Arabidopsis thaliana: one gene and its partners. The protein of the gene in region 3 purifies or fractionates together with the protein of the main gene of each other region. This does not show direct contact. Each region holds a gene or a part of one and is shown on either strand. Other genes may lie near its edges.

Evidence for each region.
Region 1: the proteins of CDKB2;2 (region 3) and AT2G05830 purify together in Arabidopsis thaliana (affinity purification with mass spectrometry, with the first as the bait; one large-scale study listed by BioGRID). This does not show direct contact.
Region 2: the proteins of CDKB2;2 (region 3) and PMH1 purify together in Arabidopsis thaliana (affinity purification with mass spectrometry, with the first as the bait; one large-scale study listed by BioGRID). This does not show direct contact.

Annotation. Positions count from the first base shown.
Region 1 is NC_003071.7:2,228,032-2,232,702, forward strand, and holds AT2G05830 (NagB/RpiA/CoA transferase-like superfamily protein), read left to right. Parts: upstream 1-1,507; 5' UTR 1,508-1,727; coding exon 1,728-1,799; exon of another isoform or gene 1,800-1,879; coding exon 1,880-1,935; intron 1,936-2,009; coding exon 2,010-2,168; intron 2,169-2,251; coding exon 2,252-2,351; intron 2,352-2,436; coding exon 2,437-2,579; intron 2,580-2,769; coding exon 2,770-2,875; intron 2,876-3,144; coding exon 3,145-3,283; intron 3,284-3,378; coding exon 3,379-3,647; intron 3,648-3,727; coding exon 3,728-3,808; 3' UTR 3,809-4,118; downstream 4,119-4,671. UniProt on the Arabidopsis thaliana protein: Catalyzes the interconversion of methylthioribose-1-phosphate (MTR-1-P) into methylthioribulose-1-phosphate (MTRu-1-P).
Region 2 is NC_003074.8:7,885,622-7,890,706, forward strand, and holds PMH1 (putative mitochondrial RNA helicase 1), read left to right. Parts: upstream 1-1,654; 5' UTR 1,655-1,760; coding exon 1,761-2,189; intron 2,190-2,289; coding exon 2,290-2,417; intron 2,418-2,505; coding exon 2,506-2,917; intron 2,918-3,050; coding exon 3,051-3,149; intron 3,150-3,251; coding exon 3,252-3,476; intron 3,477-3,557; coding exon 3,558-3,719; intron 3,720-3,807; coding exon 3,808-4,185; 3' UTR 4,186-4,532; downstream 4,533-5,085. Other genes in the region: RPS10 (ribosomal protein S10), read left to right, coding at 116-457, 609-992.
Region 3 is NC_003070.9:7,291,848-7,296,409, reverse strand, and holds CDKB2;2 (cyclin-dependent kinase B2;2), read left to right. Parts: upstream 1-1,663; 5' UTR 1,664-1,745; coding exon 1,746-1,978; intron 1,979-2,359; coding exon 2,360-2,501; intron 2,502-2,589; coding exon 2,590-2,651; intron 2,652-2,743; coding exon 2,744-2,855; intron 2,856-2,987; coding exon 2,988-3,081; intron 3,082-3,168; coding exon 3,169-3,238; intron 3,239-3,329; coding exon 3,330-3,468; intron 3,469-3,562; coding exon 3,563-3,658; 3' UTR 3,659-3,902; downstream 3,903-4,562. Other genes in the region: AT1G20940 (F-box family protein), read left to right, coding at 1-1,136; AT1G20925 (Auxin efflux carrier family protein), read right to left, coding at 3,903-4,027, 4,111-4,296, 4,385-4,437, 4,517-4,562.

The sequences.
Region 1 (4,671 bases), on a different chromosome or scaffold from region 3:
AATAAATTTAGGTGTGTTTGGTTACTGGTTAAATAGAATAATGAATTTCTATTATGTTTGGCAATTGAAATAATGTAATTCAGAAGAAAAAAAGGAAAATTTGACAACATTGTGAGTTTGTTTGTTCAGAAAAAACCTTTTTCTACTATAGATGATTACTTTCTGAGCTAAAAGAAATGCTTATTTTTAGTTTGACATCTAACTTCTCACTTGTCAAATTACTCTTTTCATTACTCATAAAAATGCATTAAACTTTTTTTATTGGTTACCGTGAATTAAAAATATATAATCACAAGGATATGTAGTTGAAAAGACTTCGTTGGCCCTTTTCGAATGATTTTAAAACCATCTCATACGTGTGCTAAAAGTTTTGTCTACCAACTGTTTGTCGAAATGCTTCCGAAACGTTTTTTGTTTGTTGATAAACTAATAATAATTCTGATTTTCTGGTATTTTTTATTTGTTGTGCCGACTATTTTGCAGACACGAGAGATTAAAGGTATCCCAAAAATTTCTGGGAATATAGTTCTTATTCACCAATCATTTGTAGCAAACAAGATAGAAAAAACATGCCTAATTCTCCAAAGTTTGTTTTCATAAGTAATTTTGAATAATTTTCATTTCTCTTTATTTACTTCCATTATTTTGATATATAGTTCATATCCATATCTCTTATGATTAATTTTTTAATCATAACATGAGAAACGATAGGAATGAAACCTATTTGTAGGCGTTTACGATATTTCTTATGATACATTTTTTTTGTAAATTAGAATTTAGAAGTAGTCACTTTCGTTTTCATTACTGGTTCAATTAGAATGAGATATGATAAAACTAATAATTTTTTTCAATTGTCTGCTCTACAATCTACACAGGATTCCAAGGAAAAAAATACTTTAGGACTTCACATCACCACATCAGATATTGTCAAAGACAATTTTGTTTTGTGAAATCGAATACTCTGAATCCGGCTTTGATATCGAGGAAAAAACGCTTGACAAAGCATTGAAAGAAAAAAAAAATATTAGTTAAAGGAACCTTATACATTTTATGAAGTTTTTTTTTTTGTAAGCACCCGAAATAAAATTGATGAAGTTTGAGTATATCACTATGCCTTATGGTTTTTGCCGACCAAAATATGTCGAAATTATGAATACATATATTTTATTTATTTATTTATATTCTATTAAAATTATTTTGGGTGTAATAATAAAATTAAACTTCTATCAATTTTAAAGGGAGGATTATTAATTTAAATAACATTAAATCATATATGATATATAATCAAATAATATTTTAGTAATCTTAAAATTAAATTAAAATTTAAAAACTGATATTTAGATAATCATAAAGTATTAACCCACAACAATAAGTGATTACAATTTAAAGAACTACTATTAGTTTCTTAAAATATTTTAAAAGCACATGTGTTCTAAAAAGGTTACAGGTAGATAAGCAGTCTGCTCCTAAAGAACTATAAACAATAATCACTTTTAATTTGTTTAAAACCAGCTTGTTTCACGCCCTAAATTAACTAAAATATATCTACCATTATTCCAGACAAAACGACGTCGGTTGGTGTGTTTCACGCCGGCTTGGTGCTCTAGGCATCTATCTGATTCTCACTATCACTACTGACACAAATCCTTTTCCTTTTGTTCCTCTTTCTCTAAACCAATCTTTAAAACAACTTATTCGTCTTCAAGATTTCTCCAACAAGTCCTACCATGTCCGGCGAAGGAGACACGACCCTCAAAGCTATCTGTTACAAGCCTGGCTCTCTCCAGTTACTCGATCAGGTTCTCTCTTTCACTTCTATAAAGTTTTCAAATTTATACTTTTTTTCCTCAAATCTGTTTACTCGTCTGAATTGGAACAGAGGAAGCTTCCTTTAGAGACTATTTACTTAGAGATTCGTGATGCTTCAGATGGATGGTAAAGTCTTTACCTTTATGATTAGAGATTGTTTTGGGAAAATTGTGGTTTAAAAAGTTTGATACTTTTGGTAGGAGTGCTATTCAGGAAATGGTTGTACGTGGTGCTCCTGCTATAGCTATTGCTGCTGCTCTTTCTTTGGCTGTTGAAGTTTTCAACTTTCATGGTTTTGATGGATCAGCTTCAGATGCTGTTGCTTTTCTTGAGAACAAGTTGGATTATTTAGTGTCAAGGTTAGATTTTGGATTTGTTAGTTAAGTTTTGCATCTTTGGTGCTTACTCTAATGTCTTTTGCTTTTTATGTTTGTTTCTTCAGCCGTCCAACAGCAGTTAATCTTGCAGATGCTGCTTTGAAACTTAAACATGTTATAGCAAAGGCCTTGGCTACTGCCACCGAAGCCAAATCCATTTTCAAGGTATCAAGAAGTTTCGTAATTCATCTGTGTGTGTGCCTTTTGCTTTTGTAAGTTTAGCTCATTCTCTGTGCTTGTTGTTCTTCAGGCATATATTGAAGCTAGTGAGGATATGCTTGAAGATGATGTTGTTTCAAACAAAGCTATAGGAAACTTTGGTTTAAGCTTGTTGAGGCAACAAGCCAAGAATCCTGATAAGCTTTCTGTTTTGACCCATTGCAACACTGGCAGGTATTGATTTAGCTAGATTTTCTGAATTGCATAGATACCGTCTGCATAAGTTACTCAAGTTGAGTAATAGCATGTTACCACATATGTGTATGCAGCTTCAACCAATAGAGTTGTGTAATGGTTTTTGGTGTTATGTTTATGTGGTAGATTCCTAGTAAGGCATTAACTACGAGTTCTATTGACTTTGTAGCCTTGCTACCGCCGGATATGGTACTGCCCTCGGTGTCATCCGTGCACTCCATACTCAAGGAATCTTAGAAAGAGCATACTGCACAGAAACTCGTCCATTTAATCAAGTAAAACTCCTAAATTAATACTTTTTCTTTCTCAATATCGTAAGAAGAAGAATCCGTAGAATACCTTAAGTTGTTAGGGACGATAATTACCTCTATATTGACATATGTGTTCTTATCAAAACGGTGGTAAAAGCTTCAAAACCATGAAGGAACGTAGGACAGATACTTCTTGTGGCAGCTCCCTGAATCCATTGCTTTATAGAGTTTTCATATCTTGTTGAACTGTTGTTGAAAGTCTTTTGAATTTATGACTAAATGGCAATTGACAGGGATCGAGGCTTACAGCGTTTGAGTTGGTGCATGAGAAAATCCCTGCAACTCTCATTGCAGACTCAGCTGCAGCTGCACTGATGAAAGATGGTCGTGTTGATGGTGTCATCGTTGGAGCTGATCGTGTGGCTTCAAATGGTACACTCAAACACCTTAGATAAATCCGTTTTCTCTCACAAATCTGATTCCTTATGACTGAATCACTTCTTAACCAATTCATTGATATACTCCAGGCGATACTGCTAACAAGATTGGGACTTACAGTCTCGCCTTGTGCGCAAAACATCACGGGATCCCATTTTATGTTGCTGCACCTCTTACCTCAGTTGATCTGTCACTTTCATCCGGGAAAGAAATCGTGATAGAGGAAAGATCTCCAAAGGAGTTGATGCACACACACGGAGGACTTGGTGAACGCATTGCAGCACCAGGGATCTCAGTTTGGAACCCAGCTTTTGATATGACTCCAGCAGAGCTGATTGCAGGAATCATAACCGAGAAAGTTCGTTTTTCCAGCCTTGCTTGTTCTGGAAGATATTTATGCTCATTTATTTGAATCTCTCAACGTGTTTGTATATGCAGGGGGTCATAACAAAGAATGGCAATGATACATTTGACATAAGCAGCTTTGCCAAGAAGATAACAGGAAACTCATCTCGTTGAAGTTAGAGTCAGCATTGCGACTTGCGGATGTTCCCCTCTCTCTATATACTTGCAACAAAGCAAATTACTTTGTAATGTTTGAGCTACTAAGTACACTGTGGTAAAAATTGTCAAAAATAAGAAATAATCGATACGTTTTAGCCAATTGTAGGTAGCCAAAATGCTGGTCTTGGGTTTAATGCTAATGAAGATTGGGAAACAACTTGTTTTAGTGTAAAACAACTTGTCCATGGGCTTGCCCGGTCCATCTTGACTTGGTTCTTATTTCTCTATTTTTTTAAGTTTAAGAAAAGAATACCGTTTCTCCTACCCGTCAATATTGAAATAATTTCAGAGGTTTTCCTTGTTCTGTGTCAACAAACAATTCGAAATGCCTCGACTTTATCAATTTTTTGATAATTCTGAACTTTAGACCAAATGCATATGGACGAGCTATATTCTGGACCAAAAAACAAATGGTCTAATTGGGCATATGACCAGTTTTGTCCACGGATAATATGGGCTTGACCATATGGACAACGGGCTGCCCATGGGCATGAATTGAGTCAATAGACATGTCTTCATTTAATTGTATTTTTATAATTTTAATTACAATTACAACTAAATAATTTTTAAATAATATATTTTACATTTATAAGTTTTTACTTTTCTGAAAATTTTAAATTTTAATGAATTATTTCTTATTAAATTATTTACGATTTTAAAGGAAAGATAGTATTCCACAATTTTCTGGAATACGCAATTTTTAAATTTTACGGTTTTGACGGGAAAAATACAATTCTCCGATTTTACGATTTTGACGGAAAAACGTAATTCTGCAAATTTTCCACCAAAATCGTGATTTTATTATATTGGCGAGAACA
Region 2 (5,085 bases), on a different chromosome or scaffold from region 3:
TCCTCACAATTCTCTCTGATTTCGCTTACTCTTTCACTGAAACCCTAATTTGGGGTTTTTCAGATTTCCTTCAATCTCTCGTCGTCATTTCTTCGTCTCACCGTTGAATCTGAAAATGATCGCCGGAGTATTGCGCCGATCTTCACTCCCGTCGAGGCAGACTCTCTCCGCCGCGTTAGCCTCCTTCAATTCGTGTATTTCGCACAATCTCACTCCAGCCACCACCGGAGCTTCCGTCAGCTCTCGATTCACTCTCGCGTCGTCTCCTAACTCGTTTGGCATCAGAGCGAGGAACATCCACATTAGATCTGAGCCGTCGATGATTGTTCCCGCAGGAATCGCGTCACAAGGTTACGCCACTGTCACAAAGGATCGCAAAAACGAGATTAAGAAAGCTAAGATTAAAATTTCTCCAGACAATGTCAGACCATTGAGTAGGAAGGAGATCGCTCTCCAGGTATATGCATTTTTGTTCAAATTCATAGAATATTATTCAAAGTGCTTCATCAGATTCAAATTCGAATAGGAATCGGAATGTGAAATTCATTGAAATGATTTAGAACTGTTGTTTATGTTGTTGTTGTTGTGTGTTTGGGGTTGAATTGTAGAAAGAGGCAGCAGAAGAAAGCACATCAAAGATAAAAGGAACAAAGATTTGTATAGCGATTCGGTCTTTTGTTAACCCGGAAAAGCAAGCTTGGTGTCTTCCTCCTCACACTCGTAAAGTCGCAATGCCCGATACACGAACTCTGTACACGGTGCTAAGATCGCCTCACGTCGATAAGAAGTCTAGAGAACAGTTTGAGATGAGGTTCAAGAAACGGTTTCTTGTCATCAAAGCTCAGAGTCATGAGTTGAGCAAGAAGCTGTTTTGGTTAAAACGTTATCGTATTCTTGGAGCTCAATATGAACTCCAGTTCCATTGCAAGACCCGTTTGGATATGACTCAAGTGTTAGGCAACATCAATGGCTCCACCACCAATGCTTACTGAGATGGCTAAAGACATCATTTTGTAGAAGTTTCAAGACCCAACCGGGTACTATGCAATAATTTCGAACCTTACGGATCCATGAAACCAGCTTTGCTTCACATCAGATCAAGTAGTTATTTTCTTGCTTAGTATAAACATGTGTTTTTGGACGATTTTGAAAGATACAATTGAGTTTCAGTTACAGTGCTTTCCATTTATTCATTAGCCAATCAAAGTCTTTATACATCACCAAGGATTGAGACACATTTAGACTGCTAAAGGTGTCATTTTGAGAAGTTATAGAAACCTTTGACCCGACCATGGAATGATGTCGAACTTTAAGGATCCAAGAGCTCACATTTTAGGTGTATTCATTCATTAGGCAATTCTAAGACTTTTACATTGTACATAATCACTAATGATTTGAGACATATGGTATAGGTTAATTTGATAGATCTGATTCCGAACCTGAGCTATTGCCAATTTGCCACACTACACAAAGTTACAAAAAACAGAACTCATTAACTCTTTGCTTCACATTCAAGAACACCTTTGGGCTCAAGCAAAAAATAATAATCAACTCTGTTTCCTTACACAAGCTTGCACGTGTAGGAACATACCATACACTCACCCGCAGGTGATTATAACAAAGTTCCCTTTATACCCGCCTTTGATTCTTCTTCTTAAATCTCTAAACCCTTTTGCCGTCTCCCTAAAACCCTAATTCTCATTTCTGGGGTTTCACATTTCATCTTCACCAGAATCCATCACACTCTCTGAAATCTGAAAATGATTAGCACAGTACTTCGCCGATCTATCCTTGGTACGTCAAGGCGTACTCTCGCCGCTTCGGTGACCTCCATTAACGCAGCTCTATTTCATAACCTTGCTCCAGCCGCCGCCACAGTCTCCGATCTAGCAAATGGAGCTACTAATGTCAAGTCTCTCCCTTCGAATTCGAGCCCTTTTGGTGTTAAAGTGAGAGACTTTCATGTTAAATCTGTACCGTCGGAGTTTAGATCGTCGATTGTTTCTTCTGCGGGATTCGCGGCTCAAGAGTATGCTCCTTCTTATGAGAACGATGGAGGGATTGGAGATTCGGAGAGTGTTGGTAGCAGCGGTGGTGGTGATGGGCTTGCGATAGCTGATCTTGGTATATCTCCGGAGATTGTTAAAGCTTTGAAGGGTAGGGGTATTGAGAAACTCTTTCCTATTCAGGTATATATGATCTTCTTCTCTGTTCCATTTGGTTATAGAGATCAATTAAAAGTTTAGATTTTTTTAACTGAGTTTTTGATGTTTGTGTTTGGTTGAATAGAAAGCTGTGTTGGAGCCAGCGATGGAGGGTCGTGATATGATTGGCCGTGCAAGGACTGGAACGGGAAAGACACTTGCTTTTGGGATTCCTATTATTGACAAAATCATCAAATTCAACGCTAAACATGGGTTTGTGTTTACTGTTATATATAACGATCATTTGTGATTGAGAGATTTGCACTTCCTTTGGTTCTTATGTTGTCTTTTGATGTGACAGTCGTGGGAAGAATCCTCAGTGCTTGGTTTTGGCACCGACGAGGGAGCTTGCTCGTCAGGTTGAGAAAGAGTTCAGGGAATCTGCTCCAAGTTTGGATACTATTTGTCTCTATGGAGGTACACCAATCGGGCAACAAATGAGGGAGCTGAACTATGGTATTGATGTGGCGGTTGGAACTCCTGGTCGTATCATTGATCTGATGAAAAGGGGAGCTTTGAATCTATCAGAGGTTCAGTTTGTGGTTCTTGATGAAGCTGATCAGATGCTTCAAGTTGGATTTGCGGAAGATGTTGAAATAATATTGCAGAAGTTGCCAGCGAAGCGTCAGAGTATGATGTTTTCTGCAACAATGCCAAGTTGGATCAGATCTCTCACCAAGAAGTACCTGAACAATCCTTTGACAATTGATCTTGTGAGTAGTCTTATACCTGCTTGTGTTTATATCTTAGAATTGCTGTACAAATTGCAAATATTGATCTTGGCTGTAGCAGTGTAGTTAATGAAGTGACATTTTTTAATGACACATGTACTCTTATGTAATTTAGGTTGGAGATTCAGATCAGAAACTTGCAGATGGGATTACTATGTATTCTATCGCTGCAGATTCTTATGGAAGAGCATCCATCATTGGTCCTCTTGTAAAGGTATGTTTTCTTTACTTTGCTTTTAAGCCAATTATCTGTATCTTGTTTTGATTCTTCATTTTTGTTTCCAGTCGTGATTTTATAACATCTTCTCCTTTACAGGAACATGGCAAAGGAGGAAAATGCATTGTCTTTACCCAAACAAAACGTGATGCAGATCGCCTTGCATTTGGATTGGCAAAAAGCTATAAATGTGAAGCTTTACACGGTGACATATCTCAAGCTCAGAGAGAAAGAACACTTGCTGGTTTCAGGGATGGGAATTTCAGTATTCTTGTTGCAACTGATGTTGCTGCCCGTGGACTTGATGTACCTAATGTCGATTTAGTGAGTGAAAACAATACCTTTTCTTGCGCTTAACTAGTTCTGTTTCTCATTTTATTAACCTGTATTGTGCTTTGTGTACAGGTAATTCATTATGAGCTTCCTAATAACACGGAGACGTTTGTTCACCGAACGGGGCGAACTGGTCGTGCTGGAAAGAAAGGAAGCGCGATTCTCATCCACGGTCAAGATCAAACCAGGGCTGTTAAAATGATTGAGAAAGAAGTCGGAAGCAGATTCAATGAGGTTAATATCTTTCTTTACCACCTTTGTATCTTTTGTATGAATAGCTTGGGTAACAAACAGTTCTGAATCTATTTGGTTTTGAATTCAGCTGCCTAGCATTGCTGTGGAAAGAGGAAGCGCAAGCATGTTTGAAGGAGTAGGTGCTAGATCTGGTGGGTCGTTCGGAGGAGGTCGATCAGGCGGTGGTGGGTATGGTAGTTACGGTAGCAGCAGTGGCCGTTCAGGTGGTGGTAGTTATGGAGGTTATGGTGGCAGCAGTGGCCGTTCAGGTGGTGGTGGTGGTAGTTATGGAGGTTCAGGGGGATCAAGCAGCCGTTACTCTGGTGGTTCAGACCGCTCATCTGGTTTCGGAAGCTTTGGTTCAGGCGGTTCTTCAGGAGGATTTGGTTCAGACCGTTCTTCTCAGTCAAGTGGAAGGAGCAGCTTTGGTGGGTTTGGATCAAACGATGGTAAAAGATCTTACTGAGAGAAGTGTTGTGTTGGTTTTGACCCGACTCAGCAATAATGGAGTTGACTTAGGAGAGAACTCGGTATCTCGAGTTGAGTAGTTTACAAGGAGTCGAGCTATATATAAATTCTGTAGCTACTTCTTGTCTCATAAACCAACATAAGTTATATCATTATTTCATATCCTCTAATTCATTTTTATTTCTCAATTTGAGTGAAATGTGTTTCCCTTACTTCGCCACTTCCATTTATGAATCTTGTTAGATTGTGAGAAAAGGAAATAATGTGGTTGATCAAAGATTCAAATCATCCCTAGTTTTGATTTCTTGTTAGATCTTGCAAGTTTTTGGTAGAACCATACACAAGAAAAATTGTTTTAAGCTTTAATTCTCATATCTGACCAACAAAAATAAAACACAGTCGACAATTATTGTTCACTACAAAAAGCATTACTCTTATGTTTCACAACTAATTAGCCTTCATTTCGCAAAACTTGATGCACTGCATAGCAAGAGCATGCAACTAGCTGCTGAACGAAAAGGCTTGGCTCTGCATAGCTAGCATAATAATACCAAGCTCCTTGGGTGTGATCCCCTTTGCAGTGAATCCAGATTTAGTTTCATCCAGTCTTATAGGCCCAAGAACGGGTTCTTGTACACATACTTGGTGATTCTGAGGGTTACAAAGCTGAGATCCCATAAACGTTGAAAGGCGTTCAGGTGGTGGTATAAGAATCATTGAGATGAGTAAAACAGTCAACACCACCCACAAGGGCATGCAAATCAATGGTAGCCATCTCAACACCATCCCCCAGCTTCTCCATTTGGAGACATTTTGAAAAAAACTCAAGAACGGCGCCTGTACAACCGTCAACACTCATCCACAGCTGATCTGAAGTCAGTAATACTCTGGAAGAAGT
Region 3 (4,562 bases):
CTATGATGCGATGCACTAACAATTCTATCAAATCATATTTAAGTGATCCAAGATTTGGACCGGAATATCCTTCATGGGTCAGACCTAGTTTGTTTAACCTTGGTAGCTATGGCGCTACTTATGTATGTTGCCATCCTTTGGTCTCTTCATGCGATTATATGTCACCGGGAAATGGAGTAGAACTGTTTGATGGTAGTGCGGATTGTTACATTTTCGGCTCATGCTCTGGTCTTCTCCTATTGTACATTGGTTGTCTCTTTGTTGCAAATCCCTTAACAAAAAGGTTTCGAATCCTGGATCATTCTGGATCAAAGCTTATACCAATGATAGTTAATGGTGGACTTAAAGGTCTTAGCGGAATTAGTTATCCTGGAGGTAATGTTGCTTGTACGGAACGAGCGATGTGCGTTGGATTTGCGGTAAATCGAAATCTAACAACCAAGAGATTCAAGATCGTGGGCATACTCGAGATGGAAAACGTATACGGATTCGAGATCAACGAAGGAGACTCTTGGAGATTATCGGAAACGAGTATCACCACTAGCTCAAAAAGTGATCTCACTACGCGGATGAAACCTGTTTACTTGGACAACACTCTTCACTGGCTGAGAAACGATGGCAGCATCATGTCTTTTAATCCCGAGACAGAGCAAGCATGCTTGATTCCTTCCATATTTCATCGGGAACCGGATACGAAGCTACTTTTCGCGGAAAGCGTTAAGATCAATCGCCTGACCCTAATTTCGGGGACGATAGAAACAATCTCCGTTTACACACTTGTCGAGAATCACAAATGGACACTCACAAGGCGGATCAAGAACATATCTATCGAGGAAGAAACGCTTGTATATTGGAACATAGCTATGTACGATGGCAAGTGTCTTGTGGTGAGGGTGAAAAAGATGGGTTTAGAACCTTTGGCAAGTGTTCTTCATGTGTACGACATGGAAGCTAACAGTTGGGGAGTTTTGGTGTCAACCCTTGCTTGGCCCAATTGCGTCCGAGATTTCTATAAATTGACGCCCTCCTTGTTCTTTGTAGAGGAGGATGAGCAACAGAAGGTGCTTGTTGCTTCTAATGACCGACGCATCTCCTATATAAATTCGATTATGGGACTCATTGATACCACCAAGTAAACATTTAGGGCCTATAGATTATACAAAAAATGTCCTGATTTATAAGAATGTTTGTTTCCCATTTGCTTTTATCATTGCACTATTATGGTTTATGTATTTCAAATCTAAAAATTAGTTGTATATTACTATTTCTTTTGGGACAAAAAATCATTTAAGACAATGTTGTTTAAGAACTTGTTCTTCTCTGGCTTGTCAATTTTTCGTCCTGCCCAATAAAGGCCCATCTTGTGTGTTTTGTCGAATCTAACAACAAACTCACACCTTTTGACCAAAAAACAAACTCTCCCCTTTTTTTTTTCCTTTCGTGTAGCTAAACCGTCTCCGGATGTTGACAAACATTGGTTATTCACTTTTTCCACGTCACACTTAAAAACAGAACATAAAAAAAAAACTAATGACGACGCTCCAGTTTTGAATTTTGAAAAAAGAAAAAAAGAACCGTTGAAAAAACATGAGTGCTCAAAGAGGGAATATACCTTTTTAATAATCTCCTTCCTATTTAAACCAATTCTCGAATCTAATTACATTTCCTCTCTCTTTCCCCAAATTGAAAACAAAATCTGAGATTCGCGAAGGAAGAAGAAGAGTTGTCTTGAGAGATTGATAGAGATGGACAACAATGGAGTTAAACCCGCTGTTTCCGCCATGGAAGCCTTTGAAAAGCTTGAGAAAGTAGGTGAAGGGACTTATGGGAAAGTTTACAGAGCAAGAGAGAAAGCTACTGGGATGATCGTTGCTTTGAAGAAGACGCGTCTCCATGAGGATGAAGAAGGTGTTCCTCCCACTACTCTTCGCGAGATCTCTATCTTGCGTATGCTCGCTCGTGATCCTCACATCGTTAGGTTCGATTTCCTTTTACATTTCTGATTCGGTTCAGTCACTTTCTGAAATTCTCCGATTTACTGGTTTTGATTGTGGATTTAGGACTCAATTTCGATTTCTAGGGTTTAGTCCCGATTAATTGATGTCTCAATTGATTTGATGACTCTGATTCTTCCTGCAAATCGCGCTTAGTGTCGCTCTTAGGTGTTACTGGTAGATCTTAGTTTCAGTTTGCTATTTGTTGTGTGGTCCGATCGAGATAAAATGGGTTCCTTATCTTATCCGAATACTAGAAAATGTCAAAGTAGAAGCTCTGTGTTGTGATCTCAGTTTCAACTATTTTTGTGGTGATTGCATTTCTACTGAGAGATTATTGTTATGATGATTATCTTCTTCTACAGGTTGATGGATGTTAAGCAAGGAATAAACAAAGAAGGAAAAACTGTACTTTACCTTGTTTTCGAGTATGTTGATACTGATCTCAAGAAATTCATCAGAAGCTTTCGTCAAGCTGGACAGAACATTCCACAAAATACTGTCAAGGTTTGGATATTTGGAGATTTTGTTCTGCTTTTTTTCTCTCATCCGATAAGCCCCTTTAAGCTAAGAGAAACATGTTCTTGAATTGCAGTGCTTGATGTACCAGTTATGCAAAGGCATGGCTTTTTGCCATGGTCATGGAGTGTTGCACAGGTAAAAATCGTCTTTGTTTTGGAAGAACTATGACTTGAGATAACCCATTTTGACACAGATCTCTAATCCTACTTGTCTTGGTTTCATTACAGGGATCTTAAGCCTCACAATCTCTTGATGGACCGGAAGACAATGACGCTCAAAATAGCAGATCTTGGATTAGCCAGAGCCTTCACTCTCCCAATGAAAAAGTATACACATGAGGTATATAAGTCTACGTTGATGAAACATTAGTCCTGTTTCATTCTAGTTTTTTTTTTTTTTTTTAATTCTATCTTAGTTTATCTGGAGTTATAACTCAGGATGATTTTACCCCCATGATTTCATTTGCAACAGATTCTAACTCTATGGTATAGAGCTCCGGAAGTTCTTCTTGGAGCAACCCATTACTCTACTGGAGTGGATATGTGGTCTGTTGGCTGTATTTTTGGTACAAAATCTTCTCTTACAGTTTCACTGGTTTCAGTTCAATGTCACTAGCAAGAACTAACAGTTTTGTTTCCTTTTTGATGTGTAGCTGAACTAGTGACCAAGCAAGCAATCTTTGCGGGAGACTCTGAGCTCCAACAGCTCCTCCGTATATTCAGGTAAGTCTTTGTGTTCATCTTTACCTTTAAGACACAAACATGACATTCGCTAACTTGGTTGTTCTGTTTCTTTCTTTCCTGTCAAACTCAGGTTGTTGGGAACACCAAACGAAGAAGTTTGGCCTGGAGTAAGCAAACTCAAGGACTGGCATGAATACCCGCAATGGAAACCGTTGAGTCTCTCCACAGCTGTGCCAAACCTCGACGAGGCTGGACTTGATCTCTTATCTGTAAGTCTCTAGTGTCTAACACACCTCTCAGACCTTGCTTGATTAGTAGATAATCACTCTGCTGAGACTAATTTGTGTTTCTCTTTGTGCACAGAAAATGCTGGAGTACGAGCCAGCAAAACGAATCTCAGCAAAGAAAGCTATGGAGCATCCTTACTTCGATGATTTGCCTGACAAGTCCTCTCTCTGAGGCTCTCTTTATAAACTCTCAATAGGATATTTTGTTCTATCTCTGTCTTTGCTTGTCTCAAGCATTTATCTGCTATCTTAGGATGATTGAAGTTTCAATATTCCCTTTTGATTGGGTCTCTATTCCCAATTGTATAACCTTCCAACATTTTTATCAATGAAAGAATATATCAGTTTCTCTAATATTTCAAAGTAGCAAGATTTGCAACTGTTTCCCATTTGTGTAAGTGTGTGTGTGTGGATGTTCAGGCTACGAGCCACATGAAGAATGTTGGCCAGACAGTGAGAGAAACTGAAGCCAAGGCATAACTCCAGAATAGAATCACAGAGCATTCACTTTCTCCTGATCCGAATAGTTGAGTGATTGTACCTGCCAAAAGGTCAAGTGAGTTTATGAGAAAGACAGTGTGATGACATGTTTTGGTAGTATTTTTGTGAGTCTGAAGAACGAACCAAGATTCATCGCTGGGGGAACGACATACTGAAGCAGAAGAACAAACTGGTAAAGCGGTTCGGATGTAACCAAACCCAAGTAATGCGCTCCTCGTACTATGAAAACTCCTAATATTGGCAGCAACAAGTAACGCACAACCACCACACCCATTATGACTGACTTGTTTATTCCTGAACCTCTCAGACCTGTGATTATTATAAGAGAGAGAACAGAGATTTAAGGTTTTGTCTTAGGAAAAAAAGTTTCTGCAGCCATTTGTTATTGTTTATCTACCATTGAGAAGGTTTCCTCCAACAATCAGAGTCAGAACAGGAATCGCCCCGTCCCTTCAAGAAAATTAAGCTACTCAAGTAAGCATTGTTAATTATCACTGACAAGTGAGATTTTTAATATGTTGTAGAATACCCCAATAGAGATACTGAGTCCTCAATCACTCGAAGTGGAGCTGTGT